2 linked regions of the Nothobranchius furzeri genome follow. The protein of the gene in region 2 interacts with the protein of the main gene of each other region in a pairwise test. Links are inferred from orthologs where the notes say so. Each region holds a gene or a part of one and is shown on either strand. Other genes may lie near its edges.

Region 1 (4,286 bases), on a different chromosome or scaffold from region 2:
TTTATCTAGTTTGGACAGTGTTTTATAAACTTTAGACAGTAGTTTGGGGGGTTTGAGATTATAGAAGTCTAATATCCTTGATGGTGTATGTAATTCTACTTTATTGAGCTTAAAGTTTTTGTTTAACTACAGATTTAATTTGGTGGTATTCTAAAAAGTTATTCTTATCTATCCCATATTGGGAGACTATTCTGTTAAATGGGATAAATTCCAATCCTTCATATATGTGTTCCAGGTATAGGATTCCTTTATTTTTCCAGTCCGGAAGGTTCATCATTTTGTTATTTTGCAAAATAGCAGGATTATTACAGTGTCATCAGAGTTTACAGTGTTGGACCTATTGAAATTTAAAAAAAAACTTTTAAAATCCTAAAAAAAATCAGAGAAGTCTCTCTCTCTCTCTCTCTCTCTCTCTCTCTCTCTCTCTCTCTCTCTCTCTCTCTCTCTCTCTCTCTCTCTCTCTCTCTATATATATATATATATATATATATATATATATATATATATATAATTTTATTTTTTAAGTAAAGGCTGTAGTATGTAGAATAGCTAATAATTGACCAGCAGGAATGATTTTGTGTCAACAGAGTTTACAGTGTAGGAGCTATTGAAATATATTACTTTTAAAGAAATCACCCAACTCAGAGAAGTACAAAAATAAATAAAGAAAAGGTGCAGATTGTAGATAAGGTAATGTAATTAGGTGCCGTCCTTTTGGTGTCACTAACATTTTCAATGTAGGAAATATAGATAATTATAAGGTATAAAAAACAACAAGCAAACAAGTCATTTTTCTTCATCCAGTGATAATGTGGTGTGTGATGTTGGTGTCACTACATTTTAAAATGGAGCAGATAAATATCAAAGTTGACATCTTCGAAAATAAAATAAAAAACAAAAACATTATGTGTTACTGGAATAAAATAATCACTGTAATGTGAACAGCATGTGTGTAGTGTTAAATTTAATGAATTAGGGGACACTGCAGTGTACAGGGGTGGTGCTGATTCTGGTTAGTCTTTTTTCTGACTGTCCCTGAGCGCTCGCGACAGGTTCGGTCGTAGTCTCATAGAGCACACTTTAGCTCGTCGGGAGTTGAGCACGTTCATTTATTTTAATTTTAATACGAGGTTGTAGCTTGTTCACTACCTTGCCACGAGTCCAGAGAGGTATTTTATGTTTTGAAGTATTATTCTGTTCAGAAGGTGTTGAGCCGCAAAAGTCGAATCTGTGAATATCTTGCTAACTTTAGTTAGTGAGTTAGTAGAGTCCACTATGGATTTCTAGCATAAAAGTGGCTTCTTTGCGGACCTTCTGGACATCAGATCACCCTCAAAATACAATTAGTGATTTCTAACCCAGGTACAGCTAGAAACATTCTCTTTGTTGCTGTCGTTCCTTTTTCTGCCAGGAGGGGGCAGATGTTTCCACGTCTCTCAGGTCTCCTGCCCAATGAGCAGACGTTACGTCCTTACGTAATCGATCATCTGTGTTGAGTTGGTGACGTGTAGTTGTTAGCTTGGCAGACGGTACGGAATCATTGAGTTCTAATTCTCTACACCGACTCCAGACAACGAGCTTTTGAATGTGGACGGAACCGTTCAGTCTCCCATGAAGTTAGACGTTAACTGACTAACGTTCACGGTAAGGAGACGCCGAGTCCAGCGAAGCGAGCTAACGGCCGCTGACCTGACTCATTGTTATGACTACCAGAGCTAGCTAGCTGGTCAAACTGTTTTATCAGCTTTTATTTACCACTCGGTTAACAATCTTTAGCGGTCCTACTAATGAAAGTTATATGTGTCAGAAATGAGTTTTACACACATACATATATTTGTTTCTTCACATTGGATCAACGGTAGTTTCTGGGTTTGGAGGACATAAACACGTCTTTCTGCTGCTGGTGGTGCTGCTGGTGAGGAGACAACCAGGGGACCGACCTGCTCGGTCCAGCCGTTCAACGCGGAGCCGTACTGTTTACTGTGGGATAATTTATGGTAATGTTGTGAGCCTTTCTTTTGTTGTCTTCTTTTCCCAGATGTAGCAGAATGCAAACAACCAAACCGGACCCTCTGAAGACCCTTTACAGAACCGGACGGTTCTGCGTCAGTCCTCAGAATCTGGATCCGTGAGATCCATGCGTCACCTGCAGAATCTGCCCATTGCACCCAGAAAGACACGCTGAGACGAGCATCATGTTCGCCAAGTTAAAGAAGAAGATAGCAGAAGAGGCGGCCACGGCACCTCGGAGCGGCGTGAGGATCCCCAGGACCATCAGCAAGGAGTCCATCACCTCCGTAGGCGCAGACTCAGGGGATGACTTCGTAAGTGCTCTGATTTCACCCGACTGGGAACGCCTCATTACTGTGGAAAATAAAATCAGAGTATGAATGAGTAATCTGGGAGCAAAACCACGTTTTTAACATCTCTACATACAGTTAAATAATTGTGTTGTGAACCACGATAAACAAACCGATTAGAGACTGTTTCCAAGAAGAAAGACAACTTTTATTTACATCACAGCCAACTCTGAACAGGCTGTTGAATGCAGAGATCCTAAAGGGGAAAAAAAGCAATAAAAACACGACTATGCAAAAATAAGGTAAATAAAACCTGTTAAAGACACAAAAATCAGATTTTATATTTCATGCTGGTTTCAGAAGCCAACGCAGACGGGCTTTAAATATGATCTAAAATTGTTCCAGTGAGGATGTCTTTCTGATCATGCCGACTAACACTTTCACACCTTGGGACCTGTCCCCCCTGAGCTTACACACTGAGTCCTTGGTTCATCCAGGACTGGTCAGACAGCTGAGATGGGGAACGTGCATGCATAAATCAAAGAGGTAGCGCGGAGGAGGATTGTTTAAAATTGAAATACAAAATTGAAATACAGATAAAAGAAGCCTACAAGGATTTGTAACAGGCAGCCAGTGCAGTGAGGCCATAACAGAAGGGATGTGCTCTCTCCTCTTGCTGCCAGTTCAAAGCTCTGCAGCTGCAGTTTGCAGCAGTTGAAGCCAGGACGGAGATAACTGGATCCTTCTTTTGTATCGGACAACAAAGGAGTGGTGGTGGTTTGTTTAGGGAAAAGCAGAGCAACATACAGCAGTGGATGGGTTAAAGAGACGGCACCGTGGCACTGGGGTGTGGAGCTAAAGGATGCTACGAGACAGGGTCAGGTGTTGATGGCCAGATCTATTAGCGTTTTCTCCACGTCTGATGCTCCTTCTTTCATCATGGAAGAAGGAAGTGAAGCTTGTTAAACTCGCAGCCATTCTCCTTCTCTTCTTCTTCGTGTCTGGTTCGATGATTTCAGTACGGTGAGATCAGCAGTTGTAGTCTTCTACGTCTTTTCACACAAAACCTAAAATAACTTTTGCCACCTGTTGAGAATGAGCACTTTCTAGGCCTCAAATGTGTCTTTTGAATTCACCGGCATCATACGTGAAATCCACGGCACATATCCAGCTGATCAGAAACTAACTTTTATCAGCTCATTGACTCCCACCCATGGTCCACAAGTAGATGGGCGTGGCTTTCCTTTCTGGTTTTGTTGGTCTTTGTTTCAGCCTGCGACATCTGGGTCACAAGACGTTGCTGCTATTATTTTGTGGGCTAGGTGTTACCTTTAGTTCATGACTGAAGATGGTAAAATACTAAAGGGAATGAAAAACAGGCTAAATGAACCAGGCACCAGGGGGAAATTTGACTTGTGTCCCAGATTTGCCGAGGCAAACTGATGTGTGTCGTCTTGGATGTACCGTGTTTAATAATTTAGTGAGTAAGCTACGTGGGTCACATGTGACTGTCTTTATGGTTCCTGGTCCAGCAGCCTGTTCAGGTTGTTCAGGTCAAGACGGCCCGGCAGCAGGAGTAGGTGTGACTGACAGCTGTCTGGTTACTGTTGTGTTGTCTGTGAGGAAAGTTCCCCACATTAATTAGCCACCCAGCTGTAAAACAATAAACTTGATTTCCACTTTGATATTTTTACTCGCCGAGTCACTGACTCGGCTATCATTAAAACATGTGCTGGTCCCATCTTGTGCCTATAGTGCTGAAACACTGGAGGACACAGTAAGACCTTAAACTTGTCTACCTACTATCTGAATTTGGGATTTTCAATAGTTGTCAGTTATAATACAAGTCAATCATCAACGTTAAGAAAAGAAACATTTGAAAAATATCAGTCAGTCTGTGTGAAAAATGATTTTATTATACAAGTTTCACTTTTTGGATGGAATTCCTGAAATGTGGCCATCACCTGTATGTGTTCAGTTTTATTC
Region 2 (3,500 bases):
GCATTTCCTTTGGAAATCAAGGACCCAGAGTCTGGAGGAAGAGCGGAGAAGCACAGAATCCACGTTGCATGAGGTCCAGTGTAAAGTTTCCACCGTCAGTGATGGTGTGGGGTGCCATGTCATCTGCCGGTGTTGGCCCACTCTGTTTCCTGAGGTCCAGGGTCAATGCAGCCGTCTACCAGGAAGTTTTAGAGCACTTCATGCTTCCTGCTGCTGACCAACTTTATGGGGATGCAGACTTCACCTTTCAACAGGACTTGGCACCTGCACACAGTGCCAAAACCACCAGCACCTGGTTCAAGGACCATGGTATCCCTGTCCTTGATTGGCCAGCAAACTCGCCTGACCTTAACCCCATAGAAAATCTATGGGGTATTGTGAAGCGGAGGATGCAATACGCTAGACCCAACAATGCAGAGGAGCTGAAGACGACTATCAGAGCAACCTGGGCTCTCATAACACCTGAGCAGTGCCACAGACTGATCGAGTCCATGCCACGCCGCATTACTGCAGTTATTGAGGCAAAAGGAGCCCCGACTAAGTATTGAGTGCTATACATGCACATTCTTTTCATGTTCATTCTTTTCAGTTGGCCAACATTAGAGAAACAAACATTTTTTCATTGGCCTTTAGAATATTCTAATTTTCTGAGATACCAGATTTGATGTTTTCATTGGTTGTCACCTATAAATATCAAAATTAAACGTAATAAACATCGGAAATACATTGGTCTGTGTGCATTGCATGAATATAATGTACAAGTTTCACGTTTTGAATGGAATTACTGAAATATTTTCAACCTTTTGATGATATTCTAATTTACTGGCCAGCACCTGTAAATTCTGCACAAGTTTTGACTGCTGCAGATGCTTTTTCTTTTTTGTCCAGGAGAGGGCAGCAGATGACAGTAAAGAAGTGGAAAGCTTCCAGCAGCTGCTCCTGGCCAGAACTCAGGTAGCTAACACGTAACCTCCCTTATTTCAAAACGTTTTCATGTCATTTATTCTGTATTTTTATTAAGAATTAGATGGTTTCATTTTCATTCTTTCCTTTTTTCCCCATTTCTCTTTTAAATCCAAATACTAAAATGATGCCATTCTAACATTTTGACGTATAATGTGAAACAAAACAAAAACCTGACATCTAAAGCATTTTTCTCTGTTTTTCCTGAATTTTGTCCCTTCAGGAGTTTATTGAGGAGATTTTGTCTCCTCCCTTTGGGGGGATGATTGCCTTTGTGAAGGAAGCCGAGGCGCTGATGGAGAAAGGACAGCTGGACCGGCTGAAGAACGAGGAAGGTGAGAGAGAAACTAACAGATAATGCCTAGAGGGCTTCGGTGTTTTCAGTATCGTCTGTTCTCTGGTTCTGGTGAAAGGTGACCAACGTAGAAGCACACAATGTCATGTTGGGTTTTTTGGTTTGTTTAACTGATAAAAGCTCTGAAACTGTCAGAAGGAAACGGTTAAAGTCAACAAACTGTCCTGGTCAGAGTTTTTCTTCTTCTGAATGACAACAGTCACCAATTCTTCTGAACTGTGTGTACTGAAACTCTAATTTCCCTCTGGGATTAATAAAGTATCTTTGATTTGATTCTGTAAATGACTTTATTTTCTGGGTAAAAATCTCAGAAATGCTTTTAATGAAGGTACAAAGAGCCTCCTTGAGTTTTAGTTTATCCAGAAACACCAGGAAGCATCACATGAACGTCTATACAGGCTGCTTTCTTTTTACCGTTCAGTTTAGGCCCTGTCCACACGTAGCCGGGGAGCTGCCAAAACGTAGATATGTTTCTACGTTTTGGCCTGTCATCCACACGAAAACTGAGTTTTTTCACTCGAAAACGGATCTTTTTAAAAACTCCAAAGTGAAGATCTGCGTTTTCTCCGTTTTGGGTGTCTGCGTGTGGACAGACAAAACCGGAGTTTTAAGGTCCGCAACGTCACTTTCCACGACAAAACAATGCTGACATCACGTGTGCGACCTGTGTTTACACTAGCCGACATCATGGATGCCCTCAGAGCTGCGCTCGCTTTATCAATTGTCCAAGCGCTTTTTGCTTGTTTGTTTTTGCAAGCGGAATTACTGCTCCTTGTGGAAGACCACAGACGAAGGACGAGGTTAAGAACGGGGGAAGTACTGCCGCCTACAGGTCTGGCATGTCCTTAACAACGTATTTATCCGGGTACGTGTGGACAGAGTTTTTTTAAACAAGGTGGTGTGGATGCAAGTTTTTGGAGGGGCGGATATTCGTTTTTTTAAAAACCCGGCTACGTGTGGACTAGGCCTCAGATTTACAGAGAAAAAGCTACTTCCTGTCTAAGCGTTTTATTGTTCCTGATCGTTTCTCTTTCGAACGTCCGAAGCCACAAAACAATCACTTCATATGACCACATCCTACATTCTGTCTAAGGAAATGAGTGAAACTATACAGGAAACAGAAAAACACAGCCATGATGTTAACCATGCTGTGTGTGTGTGTGTGTGTGTGTGTGTGTGTGTGTGTGTGTGTGTGTGTGTGTGTGTGTGTGTGTGTGTGTGTGTGTGTGTGTGTGTGTGTGTGTGTGTGTGTGTGCGTGCGTGTGCGTGCGTGCGTGCGTGCGTGTGTGTGTGTGCAGCTCGCATCACCCAGCTCATCCGGGGCTTTTCAAGCACTTGGAAACAATCAGTGGAGTCGATGAGCCAAGAGGTCATGAGATCTTTCACCAACTTCAAAAATGGAACCAGCATCATACAGGTGAGTTAGTCAGCAGGTGTGTTACACACACACACACACACACGTGCGCTTTCTTTGGCGCAACTAAGCCCAGCCCAGAATAATGACAACGGGAGCGTCGGTGTAAATCATCTCAGAGAATGAATCATATCCTGAAAACCTGAAACATTTCCTACAAATAAACTTTAATGTTACCAAAATCACTTTGAGCAGAGGATGTAAAGAAAAACTAGAAACACATTTTCATTCCTTTGTGCTGCCTTGTAGATCCCTACTGCCTCTGTAAACACTACCACATGAAAAATGCAAAAGGAAAGGGAATTAAATGCTTAAAATGAGTTGTTTCCAAAAGTCCCGGTTTGTGACATCACTAAAGGAAAATTAGAATAGAAACCCCTCTCACCTGTGGAACTCAAAAGTATTCAAAATTCAATAAATAAATAAGACATTATGAAATAAATATCCACGTGAAGAAATACTAGACAATCATGTAATCTGACAATGAAATGATGAAATAACAGAATGTTATGTAAAATCTAAGCTCAATATTCTGAAATATTTTTCATTCTTCTTTTAAAATGTCTTTATTAATATAAAGTTTTTTTCAAGTCATTTTTTCATAATAATCCAAATTAATATTGAGCCATTTTTATTTAATTCATTCAGTTTTTATTACATAACGTCTTTTTAACAAAAACAGCTTTTATTTCACAGTAGTGTTTTTTCCCATGGCTGATTTATTTCATAATGAGACTTTACAGCAGAGTGTCTCAGTGTTTTTATTGA

What was found.
Region 1: the proteins of vps52 (region 2) and golga1 interact in binary tests that used the Homo sapiens proteins (3 or more experiments, as listed by UniProt). The two-hybrid records come from large-scale screens. The link is inferred for Nothobranchius furzeri from reciprocal best matches to the Homo sapiens genes VPS52 and GOLGA1.

What each region holds. Positions count from the first base shown.
Region 1 is NC_091757.1:26,272,309-26,276,594, reverse strand, and holds the start of golga1 (golgin subfamily A member 1), read left to right. Parts: upstream 1-1,486; 5' UTR 1,487-1,644; intron 1,645-2,038; 5' UTR 2,039-2,195; coding exon 2,196-2,324; intron 2,325-4,286. UniProt on the Homo sapiens protein: Involved in vesicular trafficking at the Golgi apparatus level. Involved in endosome-to-Golgi trafficking. Mechanistically, captures transport vesicles arriving from endosomes via the protein TBC1D23.
Region 2 is NC_091759.1:11,210,160-11,213,659, forward strand, and holds part of vps52 (vacuolar protein sorting-associated protein 52 homolog), read left to right. Parts: intron 1-888; coding exon 889-954; intron 955-1,186; coding exon 1,187-1,298; intron 1,299-2,616; coding exon 2,617-2,735; intron 2,736-3,500. UniProt on the Homo sapiens protein: Acts as a component of the GARP complex that is involved in retrograde transport from early and late endosomes to the trans-Golgi network (TGN).